Linked DNA regions of Macaca fascicularis. The protein of the gene in region 5 purifies or fractionates together with the protein of the main gene of each other region. This does not show direct contact. Links are inferred from orthologs where the notes say so. Each region holds a gene or a part of one and is shown on either strand. Other genes may lie near its edges.

The links.
Region 1: the proteins of CD81 (region 5) and CD46 purify together in Homo sapiens (co-immunoprecipitation; 3 studies listed by BioGRID and IntAct, with this or other methods). This does not show direct contact. The link is inferred for Macaca fascicularis from reciprocal best matches to the Homo sapiens genes CD81 and CD46.
Region 2: the proteins of CD81 (region 5) and IGSF8 purify together in Homo sapiens (co-immunoprecipitation; 3 studies listed by BioGRID and IntAct, with this or other methods). This does not show direct contact. The link is inferred for Macaca fascicularis from reciprocal best matches to the Homo sapiens genes CD81 and IGSF8.
Region 3: the proteins of CD81 (region 5) and ITGB1 purify together in Homo sapiens (affinity purification with western blotting; 4 studies listed by BioGRID and IntAct, with this or other methods). This does not show direct contact. The link is inferred for Macaca fascicularis from reciprocal best matches to the Homo sapiens genes CD81 and ITGB1.
Region 4: the proteins of CD81 (region 5) and PTGFRN purify together in Homo sapiens (co-immunoprecipitation; 7 studies listed by BioGRID and IntAct, with this or other methods). This does not show direct contact. The link is inferred for Macaca fascicularis from reciprocal best matches to the Homo sapiens genes CD81 and PTGFRN.

What each region holds. Positions count from the first base shown.
Region 1 is NC_088375.1:65,575,647-65,579,160, forward strand, and holds part of CD46 (membrane cofactor protein), read left to right. Parts: intron 1-2,430; coding exon 2,431-2,619; intron 2,620-3,023; coding exon 3,024-3,126; intron 3,127-3,514. UniProt on the Homo sapiens protein: Acts as a cofactor for complement factor I, a serine protease which protects autologous cells against complement-mediated injury by cleaving C3b and C4b deposited on host tissue.
Region 2 is NC_088375.1:100,965,665-100,968,060, forward strand, and holds the end of IGSF8 (immunoglobulin superfamily member 8), read left to right. Parts: coding exon 1-301; exon of another isoform or gene 302-530; coding exon 531-944; exon of another isoform or gene 945-1,019; coding exon of another isoform or gene 1,020-1,175; intron 1,176-1,286; coding exon 1,287-1,402; 3' UTR 1,403-1,417; intron 1,418-1,616; 3' UTR 1,617-1,882; downstream 1,883-2,396. Other genes in the region: KCNJ9 (G protein-activated inward rectifier potassium channel 3), read right to left, coding at 1,020-1,175. UniProt on the Homo sapiens protein: Member of the immunoglobulin superfamily (IgSF) that links tetraspanin-enriched microdomains to the actin cytoskeleton and plays several important roles in innate and adaptive immunity.
Region 3 is NC_088383.1:33,709,437-33,713,578, forward strand, and holds the start of ITGB1 (integrin beta-1), read right to left. Parts: upstream 2,813-4,142; 5' UTR 2,710-2,812; intron 2,537-2,709; exon of another isoform or gene 1,613-2,536; intron 1-1,612.
Region 4 is NC_088375.1:117,488,361-117,492,644, reverse strand, and holds the start of PTGFRN (prostaglandin F2 receptor negative regulator), read left to right. Parts: upstream 1-1,470; 5' UTR 1,471-1,767; coding exon 1,768-1,816; intron 1,817-2,147; exon of another isoform or gene 2,148-2,310; intron 2,311-4,284. UniProt on the Homo sapiens protein: Inhibits the binding of prostaglandin F2-alpha (PGF2-alpha) to its specific FP receptor, by decreasing the receptor number rather than the affinity constant. Functional coupling with the prostaglandin F2-alpha receptor seems to occur.
Region 5 is NC_088388.1:2,297,052-2,301,105, forward strand, and holds the start of CD81 (CD81 antigen), read left to right. Parts: upstream 1-1,242; 5' UTR 1,243-1,474; coding exon 1,475-1,540; intron 1,541-4,054. UniProt on the Homo sapiens protein: Structural component of specialized membrane microdomains known as tetraspanin-enriched microdomains (TERMs), which act as platforms for receptor clustering and signaling.

The DNA.
Region 1 (3,514 bases), on a different chromosome or scaffold from region 5:
GCCTGAGCAACATAAGGAGAGCCCACCTATACAAAAAATTTGCCCACCTATACAGAAAATTTAAAAAAAAAATTAGCCAGGTGTGATGTTGCACGCCTGTGGTCCCAGCTACTTGTGACGCTGAGGGGGGAGGATCACTGGAGCGCCCGCGGTCAAGGCTGTAGTGAGCCCTGATTGTACTCCAGCTTTGGTGACAGAGTGAGAGACCATGTCTCAAACCAAACAAAACAAAACACAAACACACACAAAACAAAACAGGAAGTTGAAGAAGATGATGAATGCGATTTGAAATAGAGGAACATACAAAAATAAAATGAATAGGGTGCAACATGGAAGATAAAACTAAGAATGAAGAGAAGGAAAAACAAGGTTAAATTTGAGGTTCATAAGCATAAATCAAGACAGGTATGAAACCTAGAGAAAGTGAAAATGAGAACTCACGATGTTAGGCAGAGAGAATACATGGATTAAAATAAACATTCAATTTTTGGAGCAACTCAGTCTCACAAGGAGAAGGTTTTGTAAGCAGACAGTGCTGTGCATGGGAGACCTGCCCTCTCAAAAGTAATTGCCAAATGGTTCCAGATAGCTGAAGGAAACAATGTATCAAAGTTCAGGCCAGTCTCATTCATTCCTCCAGTAGAGGAACTGCTTTTTTGGACAAAATCCCCAATCTCCTGTTGTGTGTGGTCTCTTCTGCCTATTTTAGGTGTTTTCCTTATTTCCGATGAAAGAAGCCAAGATCAGTAAGTGCTTACACAGTAGCTTCTCAGTTGCTTACTCGGCATACTTCCATGCAAAGAGAGCAGTCCATATCCGGTCACCTGCCAGGATACCAGAAGACTGGGAGATAGGTAGCACGAGAAATGGCCTAATCTTCTTTCTCCACTGTGCTGTAGAATGATTGTTTTCAATATGAAATTGGTTACAATATATTATTCACATTGTTTTGTGTTTGACAGCAGTGGACTTTGAGTACCAATTTTTTTGTGGATGGCTACTATGAGTGACATATTGTGCTGCGTGTTGTGGCTGCATGGATGAATGGAGTTGGCCATGTTAACTATTAAACACAAAAGCATGTGATAATTACCTGAGAGATCCATGCAGGAGGAGATTCCAGGGGAAGTTGACTGATCACTGCTTCCCAGGGGGAGGCAGAAAATGCTTCCTGGAGGAGATGATGGGTGGATTAAGGAAGATAAGAGTTGAGCAGGAGTTGTAGCTACTGGCCAGGGAGGAAGGGTATTCAGAGCAGAGGGAGCAAGGTGAGCAACAGCACCAGGATGTGACACTACTGGACTGCCAAACTACTCAGTGTGGCAGAGTAGGGCAAAAGAGGCAAGAAATAAGGAAGAGGATTAAATCACAGGGCAAGTAATTCTGAAAAGCAACAGGCTTATCAGGAATAAACACTCATCATCATAAACTCAGACTTTCACGTTATTATCTGCCCTTTTAGGGCAGCTTGAGCCTTTTGTTTGACTTAGCACAACATGAATCCAAACTAGGGTTGTTTGATCTCCCCAGGCACAGTAGCAGACAATTTATTGAATACTTATTGGCAGATAGAGTTTGTCAGTGTCAGCATTTCTTTTTTTTTTTTTTTTTTTTTTTTTTGAGACGGAGTCTAGCTCTGTCGCCCAGGCTGGAGTGTAGTGGCCGGATCTCAGCTCACTGCAAGCTCCGCCTCCCGGGTTTTTTACGCCATTCTCCTGCCTCAGCCTCCCGAGTAGCTGGGACTACAGGCGCCCGCCACCTCGCCCGGCTAAGTTTTTGTATTTTTTAGTAGAGACGGGGTTTCACCGTGTCAGCCAGGATGGTCTCGATCTCCTGACCTCGTGATCCGCCCGTCTCGGCCTCCCAAAGTGCTGGGATTACAGGCTTGAGCCACCGCGCCCAGCCTAGTGTCAGCATTTCTTGAGCACCCACGAGGTGGGTGGAGTCTAGTAGAAAAAGAAGAACATGTTCCTTGAACCCCAGGAACATGCCTTTTAAGAGAAGATAGCCTGAAGCGACAAGCTATTATAAGTTAGTGTTTTAAACTATGGAAGAACAATCTGAGCAGAGTGCTCTATACTGTAGAAGACTTCTTAGAGGAGAAGTTACTTTTGAAATGCATTTAGAAAAATGTGGGGAAAGATGCGTCTGTATATTTTTTAAGACCAAAGACATTAATGCTGTCTCTTCAGTTTATTGGTGAATGCTTATTCCCAAAGAAACCAAAAGCTAATAGGATTGTTACTTAAAACATGCAAGTCCCATTTCCTCCACTACTACCAGCACTCAGGTAAAAGCATGGAACAATCATTTAAAATCTTGCCAAGGGCCTTTCTGTTTTTTCTGTACTACTTGCTGCCAGACCACAGTCATGGCTCGTTAAAGTGCTATCAGTACTTCATCTTCATGTTCCTATTCTCTTATCCCTAGATGCCTGTGAGGCGCCACCAACATTTGAAGCTATGGAGCTCATTGGTAAACCAAAACCCTACTATAGGGTTGGGGAACGAGTAGATTATAAGTGTAAGAAAGGATACTTCTATATACCTCCTCTTGCCACCCATACTATTTGTGATCGGAATCATACATGGCTACCTGTCTCAGATGAGGGCTGTTATAGTAAGTAAACGAGCCCCCTTTTTTTTTTTTTCTGCTTGCTCTAGAGATTCCTTCCTTCCTTCCTTCCTTTCTTCCCTCCTTCCTTTTTTTTTTCCTGCTTGCTCTAGAGATTTGCACACATTTTGGGGTACATATTCCACTATGGTGATAATGATTTTCTTCTTGTGGAATGAGGTTTAAGATAGCAATGCATTATTGCAGGCTTTGAGAAATCAAAATCTCCAAGAAATCTTTTTCCTGGCAGTAGATTGCCTAGGTGAACATGAAACTGAAATTTGCCCTTATAATAAGTAAATAAAGAAAATAATATTCCCATGCATTCAAAAGAGCACTGCAGAATTTTGATTCTGATTCAGATCTGTTTTATAACTGGATTGAAAACCGTCAAAATTATTTTCTTTTAGGAGAAATGTGTCCACATATACGGGATCCTTTAAATGGTGAAGCAATCCTTGCAAATGGGTCTTACGAGTTTGGTGCTGAGTTACACTTTATTTGTAACGAGGGGTAAGTTGCTCCTTAGAGGAAATAAGGGAAATGTTAGTAATTTTATTTTTGTTTTGCTTCTCTTCTTAAGCTTTCCTGTAAACTTAATTTTGCTTTCTATGTGGCAAGTTATACTTCTAGCCAAACAACTCTTGGATGTTTTATGGAGATAGGCAAGATATTAAAGTAAGTAGAAAATAATTGATACTGAAGGAAAGCAAAACTCCTTGTTATTTCTGACAATAAGTCTGTTGTAAGCATTAAGAATGTAGTAATCATGAGAATTTATCCTTCACAACTGAGTGTCCCCTATTTAAATCCGCCAACTGTTAGAGTTTAAGTAGGGCTCACAAAAATGAGAAATAGAATTGCCAACTACAGATACGCTTGTATCCAGATGACTCTGTTA
Region 2 (2,396 bases), on a different chromosome or scaffold from region 5:
CATGCTGCATACTCTGTAGGTTGGGAGATGGCACCTGCGGGGGCACCTGGGCCTGGCCGCCTGGTAGCCCAGCTGGACACAGAGGGTGTGGGCAGCCTGGGCCCTGGCTATGAGGGCCGACACATTGCCATGGAGAAGGTGGCATCCAGAACATACCGGCTGCGGCTAGAGGCTGCCAGGCCTGGTGATGCGGGCACCTACCGCTGCCTCGCCAAAGCCTATGTTCGGGGGTCTGGGACCCGGCTTCGTGAAGCAGCCAGTGCCCGTTCCCGGCCTCTCCCTGTGCACGTGCGGGAGGAAGGTGAGAGGGGGCTGGGCCCTGGACAGGGTTTGAGGATTGTCAACCCCTTTTCCTTCTGTTTCCATGCCCCCCTCCCTCTCCATCAGCTGCTTGCATGCCACAGCCTCACGCTCCTCTTCTCCCAATATTGTGGGAATACCCTGAGTTTCCCGCGGCGGTGCTTGGCAGCAGCTCTGACCCCATGCTCCCTGGCCCTGCACCCTCTGACCCCATGTCCTTTGTTCCGCAGGCGTGGTGCTGGAGGCTGTGGCGTGGCTAGCAGGAGGCACAGTGTACCGGGGGGAGACTGCCTCCCTGCTGTGCAACATCTCTGTGCGGGGTGGCCCCCCAGGACTGCGGCTGGCCGCCAGCTGGTGGGTGGAGCGACCAGAGGACGGAGAGCTCAGCTCTGTCCCTGCCCAGCTGGTGGGTGGCGTGGGCCAGGATGGTGTGGCAGAGCTGGGAGTCCGGCCTGGAGGAGGCCCTGTCAGCGTAGAGCTGGTGGGGCCCCGAAGCCATCGGCTGAGACTGCACAGCTTGGGGCCCGAGGATGAAGGCGTGTACCACTGTGCCCCCAGCGCCTGGGTGCAGCATGCTGACTACAGCTGGTACCAGGCGGGCAGTGCCCGCTCAGGGCCTGTTACAGTCTACCCCTACATGCATGGTAAGTGACACCCCTCCACCCTCTTCGCTCTGCCTTCCTGCCGGCCCCTGCTGCCGGCCTTCCCTTCCCATCTTCTCACCCTCCTGCTACTATCTCTCTCCTCCACATCCTGTCACATGAAGTCTCAAAAAATCCAACTTCCAGCCCTGCAGTGCCCACCTGCATGGGGTCCTCTGTGGTTGATGCTGACTTGCATGCTGAGAGGGCAGGCTGTGGGCAGGGATGGGGTGCCTGTGAATGGAGAAGGTGGGTTCAGAGAACTTGATGGGGAACGTGTAGAGGCAAGTGTGATGGGTGGAGGATGATGGCATCCTCTCTGAACAGTCATACTCTCTCCCCCAGCCCTGGACACCCTGTTGGTGCCTCTGCTGGTGGGTACAGGCGTGGCCCTAGTCACTGGTGCCACTGTCCTTGGTACCATCACTTGCTGCTTCATGAAGAGGCTTCGAAAACGGTGATCTCTTACTCCCCAGGTGAGGGAAAAGAACCCCCCAACCTTGCTTTCACTGGGCTTCCCACCACCAAGTCCTGAACCAAGCTGCTCCCTTCCAGGCCCCACCTGGAGGAGGAGTAGGCAGCTCAGATCCACAGGGCCCTGTTAAGGGGTGGAGGCCACGAGGGAGCCCCACGCAGGGCTCTCTGTCCTTAGCTCACACTGGGTGCCCTTTTCAGGTCTTGCAGGTGTTGACTGTCTTCCGGCCCAGCTCCAAGCCCTCCTCTGGTTGCCTGGACACCCTCTCCCTCTGTCCACTCTTCCTTTAATTTATTTGACTTCCCACTACCCAGAATGGGAGACATGCCTCCCCTTCCCCACTCCTTCCCTCCCAAGCCCCTCCCTCTGGCCTTCTGTTCTTGATCTCACAGGGATCCTATAGGGAGGCCATTCCCCATCCTGGAATTAGTTTTTCTAAAAGGTGAATAAACTGGTTTTATAAAAAGCAGGCTTGGCTGTGTCTTCCCTACCATGAGACTGTAAAAGGCTCAGGGTGCACAGTAGGGAGGTGGTTGGGGGTTGACAACCTATTCTGGACGACCCAGGCCTCTCTTCCCACCACAAACACCATCTGGCCTCCGCGGGCCATGCCACCTACCCCAGGAGGGGACACCTGGGTTCCATCTGCTGCCTGAACTGTCAGGGCTGAGACAACTCCTGACTGGACTCCTACTTGGGGAGGGAAGCATAGAAAAGGAGGGTAGGTTCCAGCTGCATGTGGTCCCCCCTCCCCAGCTTCTCCCATGTTAAAGGGCATGGGCCTCTAGGGGCAGTGCCTTTTCTGAGCTCCCCAGACTTTCCCCCACTCTTCTTACTCTCCTGGTCAGGCTAGTCTTGGACCTGAGTCCTCCCACTAGACCCTGGGGCTGCAATTCTTGTTCCTTCTGACTGACAGCAGCAGAATAGAAGCCTCAGAACACAACTGATACTCAGGCTGGGACAACAGGCAGTCAGGGGAG
Region 3 (4,142 bases), on a different chromosome or scaffold from region 5:
GTAGCTTGTTACATACTCAGAAAGTTAAGTTCTCGGAACTTGAAAGCTCTCTGAAACTTTTACAAGATGTTTCAGCTTATCACACTAGCAGCATGGTTAAGGGCAAACCAGAGCAGCTACAGAATATTAATGAATATTTTTTTCGGACAGAACACTGTACTACTCCCTGCTGTAAGCCACAACTTACTTATCAAGAAGTCAAACAATAAAGACATTAAAATCAGTGGCAAGCACTCTTAGAAAAACTGGCACCATGTTGTTTGACCACTTTTCATTATTATAGTATGACCATTTGTCCCCAGTGTCACTCCCAGAGTTAGGAAGAACACCAATGTAGAACTACATTTTCATTCGTGATGGTAATTTGGGGCTGATTTAAATTAAATTATACTGACCAGAAAGCTAAGAAGAAAGCTGCCTAATTGTTAAAATTACTAAATGCAGTGACTTTCAGAATTGTTGATTCCATGCATTTCATGTACAGAATGTTGAAGGTATTCAAAAATAACTTTAATACAGAACTTTACATTGTTAGGAAAATCACATAAAATTGTAGGTCTAGGTCTGAAGTCAACATAGATGAGTTAAACAGTCTATTTGCTTCCTTTTTACACAATTAAACTATTAACCACATTCTTTGTCCTTTTAGCTAGTATTCTAATAACATCTTCCACCTTCATACTCAATTTTGGGGTAAGTAAAATGGCTTTCCCCCCAAATGCCTGTAATCAAAATACCAATGTTTTTTATTTAACACTTCACCATCTTCAGTCACTTATATAATATTGATCAATGAGCCAACATTATTTAAAAATATGAGAATTACAGTGAGACTCTAAGTCCTGACCCCTCTGGGCCTTGATGTCCACAAATGAACAGGTAACTGCCAACTAAAGTTCCTTAATCATTTCTAAAAGTGGCCTATTGTATACCCTATCGTAAAGGGCATATGTGGTTTAAGAAAGATGTCTAAATTCCTCTAGAACGTTATTTTTGTAGCATCAGAAGTACAATAAGAAAAATAATAATAACCTAAGGGCCAGGCTCAGGGGGCTCAAGTCTGTAATCCCAACACTTTGGGAGCTCTAGGAGAGAGGACTGCTTGAGCCTAGGAGTTTGAGGCCAGCCTGGGCAGCATAGTGAAATCCTGTCTCTACAAAAAATTAAAAAATTAGCCGGGCATGGTGGCAGGCGCCTGTCGTTCCAGCTACTCAGGTGGCTGAGGTGGAAAAATAACTTAAGCACGAGAGGCTGAGGCTGCAGTGAGCTGTGATAGCTCCTCTGCACTCCAGCCTGGGCGACAGAGACCCTGTCTCAAAACAAAACAAAATAACCTAGCAATTCTATCCACCTGTTATCCATGTGGCACGTTGGCCCAAAGAAACCTTACTAATGATGTTACCAATTACCTTCCGAGAAATCTTTTTACTATAAAAGAAGGGCTGAAAAGCAGTCAATATTCATTGAGCATCTACTCTCAAGCTAAGTGTTTTACATTTTGCATTTGATTTTCACGACTATAGTTAGGAAGGTTACTTTTGGTTTAAACGTAGGCTCTGGAGCTAGACCCCATGCCTTCTCCAGGAGCTCCCGATGACCATATGCAACTTACTTTTTGCTCCCTGTGCCTCCGTTTCTTCACTCGGAAAATGGAAATAGAAACAGTAGCAATCTCATTAGAGCAGTTCCAGAATTAAATAATACACATGAAATGCCTAGAGCTAAACCTGGCCCTCGCTGTCATTGTTATAAAAATGAATTATTAGTGTAGGTAGTATTGTTCCTATTTCACAGATGAGGAAACGGAAGCTTAGAGAATGCAATTTACTAATGATCATACCAATGAGTGCAAAGCTTTGGACTTAAAAGCACGAATTTGATTAAATGAAAGTTACTTAGAGAGTGGGAGTCTCATAAATCCAATTTATGAAGCCTAAGAAATGACACGCGGTAAAAATGATACTAGACACAGGACGGGCTCTCAGGCTCGCGGACCGGGTCTGAGCGCAAAGTGGCCGTGGCCCTGTGTCCTGGTCCCGGGGTGCCCGGCAGGGGCCGGCGACTCTTGACTTCCCGGCATTCGCGTTTATAAACACCGGGAAGTGAACTGCACTGCCGCCGCCGCGCCCCCGGTCCCCAGCGGCTCCGCGAGGCCACTTTCTATCCCGGCTCCAGTCGGAGAAGACCAGTCCCAACAGCGGGCGCCGACGGCCGGCTCGACGCTGCTCCAAAAACAGCAGCCAGCGAGGGAGCGAGAGACAAAGGCGCAGGACCAGTCCAGGGGCGCGCTGAGTCCTAAACGCCGAGCCCCGGGTGGCCTCGCTGGCTCCCACCTGCGCTCGCCCAGCCTGGCGGGAGACCGCAGGTGTCAGGAGCCGCTCAGGCCCGGTCCTCCGCAGCTCCAGCAGCCCCGACGTGACAGCGCCCAGGCCCGCGACCCTAGCGCTCGGAACGCGGCTGGGCCGACTCGGCGCCCGGACGCTGCCAGCGCCTGGGACCCGAGGGGGGTGGCGGTGTGCGGACTTCCTCCCGGACTAGCCTGGAATCCCGCCCCAGCCCCCACCGGCCCGCGGCCGCCCCCGCCCCCGCCCCCACGCCTGGCACAAAGGTCCCGGCGCGGCCCGGGCCGGCGGCTGTTAAGTGCTGTTGCGCACCGCAGACCCGAGGCCGCGGCCCGCACCCCCACACCCGAGGCCCGCCGGCGCCTACCTTCTCCGCGCGGCGTCCGGGCCCCGGCGCGGTGGGCTCCGGCCTGCTGTTCCGCGACTCCCGCTCGGCCTCTCCTGCGGGCTGGCGGGGCCTCCCGAGTCTCGGGCGCGGCGGGTGGCGGCGGCTCCTCCTCCTCAGGGGCGGGAGGAGGGGACTCGGCGGCCCAGAGCCGCCCCCCGGCAGGAAACCAGCCGCGGCCCCGCCTCCTCTGCGCGTCTGATCCCGCTCCCGAGGCCGCCACCGCCCTCTCCCTCCGGAAACGCATTCCTCTCCCGCCGCGTCAGCCCGGCCCCGGGGCGAGGAGGAGGCGCAGGAGGAGGCAGGAAGCGCGACCGGGACAAAGGAACTGGCCCGCTCGGGAGCGCGCCTGAGGGAGGCCGTGGAGGGCAGGGCCGGGACTCCGCTGAGACAGTCGCCATGCCTCAGTTTCCTCCTCTGTGAAGGGCGGGAGGGGTCGGTTGCGCCCTAAAGCCCCGCGCGTTCCTGGTGTAGCCTGCTGGGCCCGTGTTCTTTAAGTTCCGCTTCCTCGGATCCGCGTGTCCGACCCTCCCTCCCGTTTGTCCACTGATGTCCCGTTGAGAGCCCGGGAGGTCCTGCATCCCGGAAGCCCCCTCAGTCCCGAGGCAAATCGGTACCATGAACCCCCCCATACCCTGCAGGACTCCATGGGGCCAAAAACCACGTGGTCATTCTGGAAGGGAACTGGCTAAGCCAGGACTGCTTTTCTGGAGTGATAATGTGCTAGCGTGTGTCTAAGAGAAAGGTGAAGACTTGGGAAACCCGTGGGTGCCACGAAGGGTGGTGGGACTGGGGAACGTTTTAGAAAACCTGGTGAGTTGGGTCCTGCTTTTGATAGATTTATCTGGAGGTCCCTTTATGGGGAACAGGGATGAGAAGGAAAAGTTTCTTCCTACGGAGTAGAGTTTCTGTTTCAAACCTCTTTAAAAAAGAAAAAAAAAAAGGAGATGGGGGCTGGAAACAGAACGTTTGAAAGAGAAGGAAACATTCATTATGAGAATGGCTGGGCGCATGTCGATTCGATGATTGAAGTTCGTACCAACCAACATCATACTGAAACCCAGTAATTTCAGTATACGCTGCTGGCAAGCTGCTATCCTGGTAGCAGAAAATGTTGTAGGTTCCACTTGGTGAGCTGCAGCACCCTGTTGGGAAAAGAGCTCAAAAATTACCAGATTTATGAAACTGAGAAGAATCTTGCAGGAGATGAGGGGCTGGAACGCCCATTTGGCTGCTGCCAATCTAAAATATAAGAGAAAATGAGGCGATCACATCTAAGAAAATTTGCACATTACTTACCAGCAAAATCAAAACTATTGGTTAGCCAATGTCTGCAGACCTCTAGGAAATAAGCACTATTTTTCCCGCTTAATGGATGTTCAAGCTTAAGAGGCTAAATGATGTTCCTATGTTAA
Region 4 (4,284 bases), on a different chromosome or scaffold from region 5:
AAAATAGAAACAATTAGCTAGAGTGTGGTGGCACACATATGTGGTCCCAGCTATTGAGAGGTGGAGGTGGGAGGATTGCTTGAGCCTGGGATGTCAAGGCGGCAGTGATTCCTGATCGCAGCACTGCACTTCAGCCTGGGTGACAGATCGAGATACTGTCTCAAAAATGAAATAAGAAAAAAGACAAAACAAATAAAAACTCCTGGTTTCAAGCAACACCATCCTTGCCCCCGCTCCCGGCCTCCCTCTACCCCCGCCCCCGCCCCCAACTTCAGTCTTCTGAGTAGCTAGCATTACAGGTACCAGTTACCATGCCTAGCAATTTTAAACATTTCTAAATGTACCATTCAGTGCCATTAAGTACAATAACGTTGCACCACCAGGAATGAATTTTTAAGACTCTTTCCAAAGGGTTCATACCTGGCTAATCACACATTTGATAGTGGAAATAAGAAACATTTGTTGGTTGAAACACGGATGCATGAGAGTAAAAGTAGTGTTCTTCCCCTGTGTGAGTGTGGGCAGTTTCCGCATAAGCATCTGTGATCCGTTTTCCACATGTGAATGAAAGCCCAGTGAGGGGCAGTGGGCACCAGTCCTGCTCCTTGCGTGTCTGAATCATGCTTGCTAAGTTTCAAGCAAGGAATGCTCCCTTTCTCCCAATACCCGTGGGGCCTTTTGTATTCAAATCAAAAGCACAAAACTCTATTGTGGGGGGAAGTATGAGTCTTTATTGGCAACCAGTGGTGTCCACTTAGAGCAAGAAATATGAAGTCTTAACAGTACATTCTATATGAAGTACTATAGCTATTAATACACTTGGGTTTCGTTTGTTTTTTAAATGGGTGTCTTTGTGTGGAGCTGTTCTAATCAGTGCCACAGGCGCTGAGGAGAGGGAGGGTGCTGGGTAAGGAGGAGGCAGGCCCACCCAAATCACCGGGGAGTGGGCAGTCAGGACAGCGGGGTTCTGATTTTGCCCCTTCCCTGTGAATCCTTGGGCACCTCACCGAAACACTTAAGGCCTCTGTATGGTAGACGTTGGAATCCGTGGCCTTCAAAAGTCCTTTCAGCTCCTTCGCTCCCATCTGCGTAATTTTTGGCATAGGCCAAGCGGCTGGTTGCTGGGGTGTTTAGCTCAGGACGAGAGGCCGAACGAGCGGGCAGTTGATTGAGGATAGACTAGACACGCGTGGGTGACTCCAGCGTGATGGAACGCGGGGTGTCCCGGGATAGGGCTAAAGCGAAGGGATTTCCAGACGAGTCTTTCCCAGGCCAACTTTTAAAGGTCGGAGGAAAGTTTCTCGTGGGGTGGGGGCCTAGAGGGGAAGGCAGGGTGGGCTCCGACGCCTCCTCGCCTTTAAGCGGGTGGCCCCTGCGCTTCCTCCGTTACCTGGAGCGGGGAGGGGCTTGGGAAAGTTTGTGTTTGTTGCTGGCAAAGCGCCGGATGGGAGGCGCGGGCGGGCGGGCGCTGCGGTTCTTCCCTTCTGCTTTCGGGAAGCGGTCGGGGCTGCACACTCGGATCGGCGGGGCCGGCTCCCGGGCCCGGCCGGCTGGAGGAGGGAGGGAAGGAGGCGGGAGGGAGCGAGCGGAGCCAGGGGCGCACGTACGCCCCAGCGCTGGGATTTATCGGCTCGCGAGGAGAGCGGAGCAGGCGCGCGGCCCAGGCGGAGGAGCGCCGACTCTGGAGCAGCCGGAGCTGGAGGAGGAGGAGGAGGAGAGGCGGCGGGGAAGGAGGAGGAGGGGGAGAGTCGCTCCCGCCGGGCGAGCATGGGGCGCCTGGCGCCGAGGCCGCTGCTGCTGGCGCTCCTGTCGCTGGGTGAGTGTGCGCGGGGCTCAGCTGGGCGCAGGGGGTCTGGCAGGGCCCTGGAGGGCTCGGCGGGGCGCGGCTGCAGCGCGCGGCCTGGGTCACTGAGGGTGCCCGGGCTGCTCCCGGGAAACCCGGCCGGGGTGCGCGGGCTGCTTGGCCCGGCGGGGAGCGGCCGCGGGGCCGCCCGGAGCCTGGCGCGAATCAGCCCGGGCCCCGCGCGCAGGGTGCAAGTGGCGGCTCCGCCAGGCCGAGCCTCGCCCCCAACATGTGCCGGGGGGAGTGGCCCGGGCCGGCTTTCCCCAGCCCTCCCTACCTGTTGGCCGCCGGGAGCCCGGCTCACCTTGAACTCCCGGCCCGGAAGGTGCTGCGGTCCCGGCCCGGGTCCCCCGCTCGAGAGCGGAAATGTGAGCCTTTGATATGCCCCGCCATAGCCGCCGCCGGCCGGGTCTCTCTTCGCCCAGCCCGCGCGGAGTTGCCTTTCCAGGGAAGCGAGAGAATCCTCCAACTTCCTTCCACGAAGGTCACAGGGTGGCCCGGAGCGTTACAATGGAAATCGGCGGGCGAGTCCTGCCGTCATTTTCGTCGTGGCTAGATTGTCTGCCTCAGTCTTTTCTTTTAGCTTTTCTTGAAGCTGCCTAGCTGCGTATTTATACACAAAGACCTAAGAGCCTGGCTTCTCCAACTTTTTCTACCTGTTACTTTTCCTCCCTTACTGTCCCCTCATCTTCCACCCTCCGGAAACCCTCGGTGCCCCGTGAGGTTTTGGCCCAGCGCCCTCCCCCCACCCAAGGAATCTTTTGTGGGTTTTTTCCCTCTCCATTTTCCATTCACTCCATACACAGACACCATCTTCACGTAGATCCACATGGTGATCCTAGCCAGCCACGGAAATATGTTTATTAAGTGCCCACCATGGTACCCCAGGGCCGACTCTTAAATGCTTTGATATTCTTGGATCCTTGTGGTCAGTGTCAACCAGGACAAGATGATTCTTATGACCCGGCCTGGGGTTCTCTTCCAAGCCCCTAGAGAAGGCAGATCTGAGTCTTTTACAGAGCGCATGGTGTGCGGTGTCCGTCCCATCCAGGTCCCAGCTGCACACAGCGCAAATGACTACTCTGCACTTATGGTCGGAGGGTCCCAGAGAAGGCCTTCTATAGCCACTCCCCTACTGGGGACACCGGGGGCCCACACTGCTCTAAGCCCCGTGACTCCTGCTGCTGGTAAACCAGCCTTGCTAGCTTCTGTGTTTTCTTCCTTCACCTTGAAGAGATTTTCTGAACTGACTCCCTCAGAGAGCTCGTCCAGCCACATTGCTTCAGCTTCAGCCCATGTGCAGAAAGCTTCCAGATCTTCCACTTAGTTTTATGGCATCTTTTCTATAGTCCCTGATCCTAGTGCTTTGTTTTTATTTTTGAAACAAAGCCTCACTCTGTCACCCAGTCTGGAGTTCAGTAGCACAACCATAGCTCACTGAAGCCTCAAACTCCTGGGCTCAATTGACTCTCCCACCTGAGCCTCCTGAAGTGCTGGGATTACAGGCATGCTCCACCACACCCGGTGGTAGTGCTTTTAATCTTTACTTTTCACTGCGGGACCCTTGTAAGTTGTATGTTAGTGGTGCACTGCTGTTATAGTCCACACACAATTTTTATTGACTGTGTGTGTCTAGGTCAAGCAGGGCCGTGGCCTGGGTTTGCACAGATTGTGCACTGTGCAACTTCGGGAGCTGCTGTTCACTTTGTAGTCTGTGTGAATGACTCCCCCTAGAGTTGTGCAGTTCTTTGAACAACCTGGGTACCAGTTATGAGGGTGGGATGAGGTAGAACTTTGAAAACTTTGAAAACAATGCCCTTGAGTAATCATAATGAGGGGGGAAGAGGGAAGGGGGCAAAGAGAGACTGACAAAAGCAAAATAGAAGTGGGGAAAGCACAGCTTGGGGAAATCTTGATTGTACTCCAGCATATCCTGTCCTGGCTGGATGCCTCCTATGAATTACACTGGGAATTTCTGTGGTGTCACTAGCCGGTGCCTTTTTACCTGACAGTTCTCTGAACCATTGATGACCCTCCTGATAACTCTGCTGCCACAGAATCTCACTTGGCGTGACTTCAGCCTGACCTCTGGGAAGGTCTCCCTGTGTTACACTACTCTAGCACTGTACTGATCCCTGAAATGTAATACATTGATAAGCAAGATCATCTTTCCTCCTAGGGAGTAACCTGAGTATAATCTTGGTATCACTGCTCTTTTTGACCTCCACATTCACATAGTCTCTCAATTCTTGCGTCTCCCCATAGCACAGACTCCAGCTTCTTCCTTTCCTTCCTGTTTCTACGGCTACTGTCTTAGCCCAGGTCCCAATTGTTTCCCACACAATTGGTGTCTTCGTGGTTGGTTATTTCCTCCAGCCTCCCTTTTAAGCTCATCCTTTTCCTAAATGATCATTTTTGGGGCTCCCACCTGTTCTCACTGG
Region 5 (4,054 bases):
CGTGGTCTCGATCTCCTGACCTTGTGATCCGCCCGCCTCGGCCTCCCAAAGTGCTGGGATTACAGGCGTGAGCCACCGCGCCCGGCCGTGAATTTAAATTACAATGAAACGCAATGAAAAATTCGGTTCCTTGTGGCCACATTTCCAGTACCCAGTAGTCATTTGTGCCAGGGGTTATCCAGCTACAGAACATTCCCATCATTGCAGAAGGTTCTATCAGTTAGCACTGGATTGGACGACATTTGCTAAGACGAGCTAGCTAGAGCACGGTTCTCCGGACCTGGTTCCACATGGTTCCCAGGTAAGCTCCCGCCCACGACGCAGCCCTGTTGTCCATCAATTTTCTTGGAGAGGACATGGGAAACCTTTGTCGGTGTGTCATCTCCTGCGAAGGCCTTCACTCCTTCCTCTGGGCAGGAAGCACCCCTCACTCTGAATCATTAGCCCAAAGCAGTAAGTGCAGCGGGCCTGGCCCCACACCTACAGGAAGAGCCACAGCGTGAGGCTGGCATCCCTGGGGCACGACACAACCAGGATGTGGATGAAATAGATGCAATATCTGGAGGTTCTCTTATAGGTGGCTCTGGCCTCCTGGACACTTCACACTGGTCTGGGAGCTGCCCTCTCAGGGCCCAGTGACCTTTTCAGATGCAGACTCCTGCAGCATGGGTCAGCAATTCTTCCCTTCCATGGGACAGGGATTGGTTGCCTGTACTTGAGGCCAACACTGACTAGGGGGCCTCATGCCTGCCCCGTTCCAGCCCCGGAGAGCAATGTGAGCAAACCCTCCTGTCTCTGCAAAGCCAACCACTGTGGCATCACCTCCTTTAGGGAGCCCTCCCAGATTGTCCAAGGTGCTCACCTCCTTTGGGGAGCCCTCCCAGATTGTCCAAGGTGCTTGAGGGAGGGAGGAATAGGTTGTTCTCCCGGCACCGGGCCTGCACTCCTGGGTAGACGCTGCATGCCCGTCCTCAGGCGCGGCCCTGCTGCCACCCCCTCGGGGGCTCGGAGCGCGACAGCAGCTTAGGGACGCCTCCCGCGCCCAGCACGGTGCACCCGGGCCCTGAGGTCCTGGCCGAAACGCGCCAAGTTGGGGGTAGGTGCAGCGCCCCCATACCCCTCCGATGCGCGCCCTGGCGACGGGAGGCGGGGCCGGAGGCGGGGCGCGAGCTGGCCGGGGCGGGGCCTACGGGGGGCGGGACCGAGGCGTCCTATAAGTGGTGCTGAGCGCGGCGCGCGCCCGGCCACAGAGCGAGCGCGCAGCGGCGGAGATAGCGGCGACCCCACCGCGCATCCGGCCAGGCCTCCGGCGCCCCGCGCCCCCCGCGCCCCTGCGCCCCCGCGCCCCGTTCTTCGCACCGAGGCCCCTAGGCCCGCCAGGCCCCCTTGCCGGCTGCCCGCCAGGCCCCGCGCCGGCCCGCCCGCCTCCCAGGACCGGCCCGCGCCCCGCAGGCCGCCCGCCGCCCGCGTCGCCATGGGAGTGGAGGGGTGTACCAAGTGCATCAAGTACCTGCTCTTCGTCTTCAATTTCGTCTTCTGGGTAAGGGCTGGGCCGGGGGCCAGGGCGGGAGGGGACGGGCACACACCCCACCTCGGGCAGGTCCCGCGGCCGCGTGCTAGGCCCCGCGGGCGCAGCGCGGGCCGCGAAGTTGTGGGGCCACCTGTGGGCTCCAGGAGCGGGGTGGGGGGTCGCCCGGGGCCGCCGCGCCCCCCAACTTTGGGGCTGAGGGCTGCGAGCCGAGTTTCGGGGCCTCTGTGCGCGGGGGCCCAGCTCTGCGGCCGGGCCGGGGCTTCTGGGGGCCGCCGGGCAGTTCCCGCTAAGTGATAGTGATGGGTGCGGTGGGCGCGGGCCGGGACCCGAGTACCCGGCCGCCCCTCAGCTGAGGAGGGGCCTGCGCGGGTCCCTGGCCGCGGATTCCGGACTGCTGCTTCGCGGGGACGAAGGGGGGGCTCGCGGGCGGGACTCCTGGCGCCCCGCCCCCATGAGCTCATCAAGGGCCGCCGCCCCTGGATGGTGGGGCGGGGGCGCACACTTTGCCCGAGGTTGGGGGCGATCGCCTCACTCTCTCCCCAGCCCAGCTAACTCGCCAGTCTGCTGTCACCACCCGGGACCTTCCCGGGGGTCGCGCCTAAAAGGATGTCACCGCTGGGATGGCCCAAAAGCTGGGGTGCGCGCACCCTGGCTGTCCTGTCTGGGGGCCGATCTCCCTCTCCTCACCCAGACACGTTCCAGCCTAGGCCTCCTCCCAGAAGGGCTCTGGAGGCCTTGCAGGAGTGGGGTCCCGCGGTTCTGAGTTGGCACAAGGAAGAGAGTGGCACCAGGGGCCTGGAGTGGATGGCAGGGTCTGGGAGTGGGGCCGCTGCTTTGGAAAGAGGGGCCCCCACGCTGGGCATCTTTGGGTGCCAACGTGGGTGGAGGAGGGTCTCCTGCTGAGAATGGCTTTCTCCTGACCGCAGTCTTTGCTGCTGGGAAGTGACTGATGGGCTTTCGCCTTTTGTTTCCATTTCCTGTCAGTGTTGGAATTGGGGAGGGGGTGGAAATCCCTTCTTGGCCTGGAAGGACTGGAGTGGGTGTCCATGATGGTGACCTCCCCGCGGCCACGCCCCTGGGCAGACACCGCAAGCCCCTCCCCGTGTCCCCCCAGGCTGTCACCCCCTTCTCGTGGAAGACTCGGCTGATGTCCCAGTGGAGCGAGTGTTTCTCAAGTTGAGGCAGGGAGGGCAAACTTTTAAAATGGCCCCGGAGCCAGTGTGTGGGACCAGAGACATCTGTTTCCCATCTGGACTGTGAGGATCCCAGTGCGGATCTGGGGCAGGGAGATTGTTTGGACGGGGAAGGACAGAGGCTGAACTGAACTCTCAGCTGGGAGAGGAGTGGGGCGGTCACATCCCACCTTCCCCAAGACCGACTGTTCTGCACAGTCTGCTTGGGACACTGGTGGGAGTCACTGTAGCCTTTGGCTCTGCCCTGGCAGTGGGGGCAGCGAGGCCATCTGGGAGGGGCTTGCCCTCCCCAGGCACAGCCCTGGCACCTCGGCCGTTGCTTAGTGGTGGCCTGCTTCAGCCCAGGCATGTGGGAGAGGCACGGGACACAGGATGTCCCTCTGCCGGCCCCTGGAGCCCCATCCCCTGATGAGGAGAGTGTGGGCCTGGGGGCGGGGGCTGAAGGGGAGTCAGGGAAGGGGACTTCTCTGGAGGTGGATTTTTGCTCTCTGGACGATGCGTCACCGCTGGGTCACCGCTGGGTGAGTCCCTCCTGCCTGCCCAGGCTGAGAGGTGTCCCTGGCAGTCCCCCGGGAGTGTCGCCACGGCGGGCCTGGAAGTTTCCCAGGCAGCTGGGGTGGAGACCTGACGCATCCCAGGGATGCTTGTTATTAAGGCTCGAGGAAATGTCTCCAAGGCCTCACCACTCCTCTCCCCAGGGCCCGCTCCCCGCAAAGCATTGAGAACTGAGTCCGTTCACAGTCACTGTGGACCCACCCATCCACTGGGGCTCTGTTGTAGCCAGGAATGCCAGGCTGGGTGAGGTGAGGTTGGTGGGCACCACCCTGGTGGACCCCCCTCCACCGTGGTGTCGCAGGGTGTGTGGCTGAGAGCACAGTGCCATGGGCTTGGGCCTCCCTCAGTGGAGTCCCCACCACACTGCCCTGGTCCTGGGCCTTGGCCTCCCCCGTCTGCAGTGGGGGCCCTCAATGAGCCTGCCTCCTGGCGTTGTTGGTGGATTCACTGACATGCCTGAGTGTTGACAGGGGGCTTGGTACAGGAAGGGCTCAGGGTGTGGGGGTTGGCCAAGGGTCCAAAGGGACCCCTGCCTCAGAGAACCCAGCCCAGGCAGGCAGGATGTGCAGTGGGGAAGGGGCTGCAGGAACCCTGCAGGGCCCAGAGGGACTCAGTGCAGTCCCGTGGGCTCAGGGGAGGCTGGTGGGGAGGAGGTTGACAATGTGTGTCTGGATGGGGCGCTTGTTAAAAGTTCCATTTTAGAGAGGAAAAAGGCCTTGCCTGTGGGAGAAGGCAGCTGGGGTAGCCTGACCTCTTTCACAGAAAGGAGCCCCCC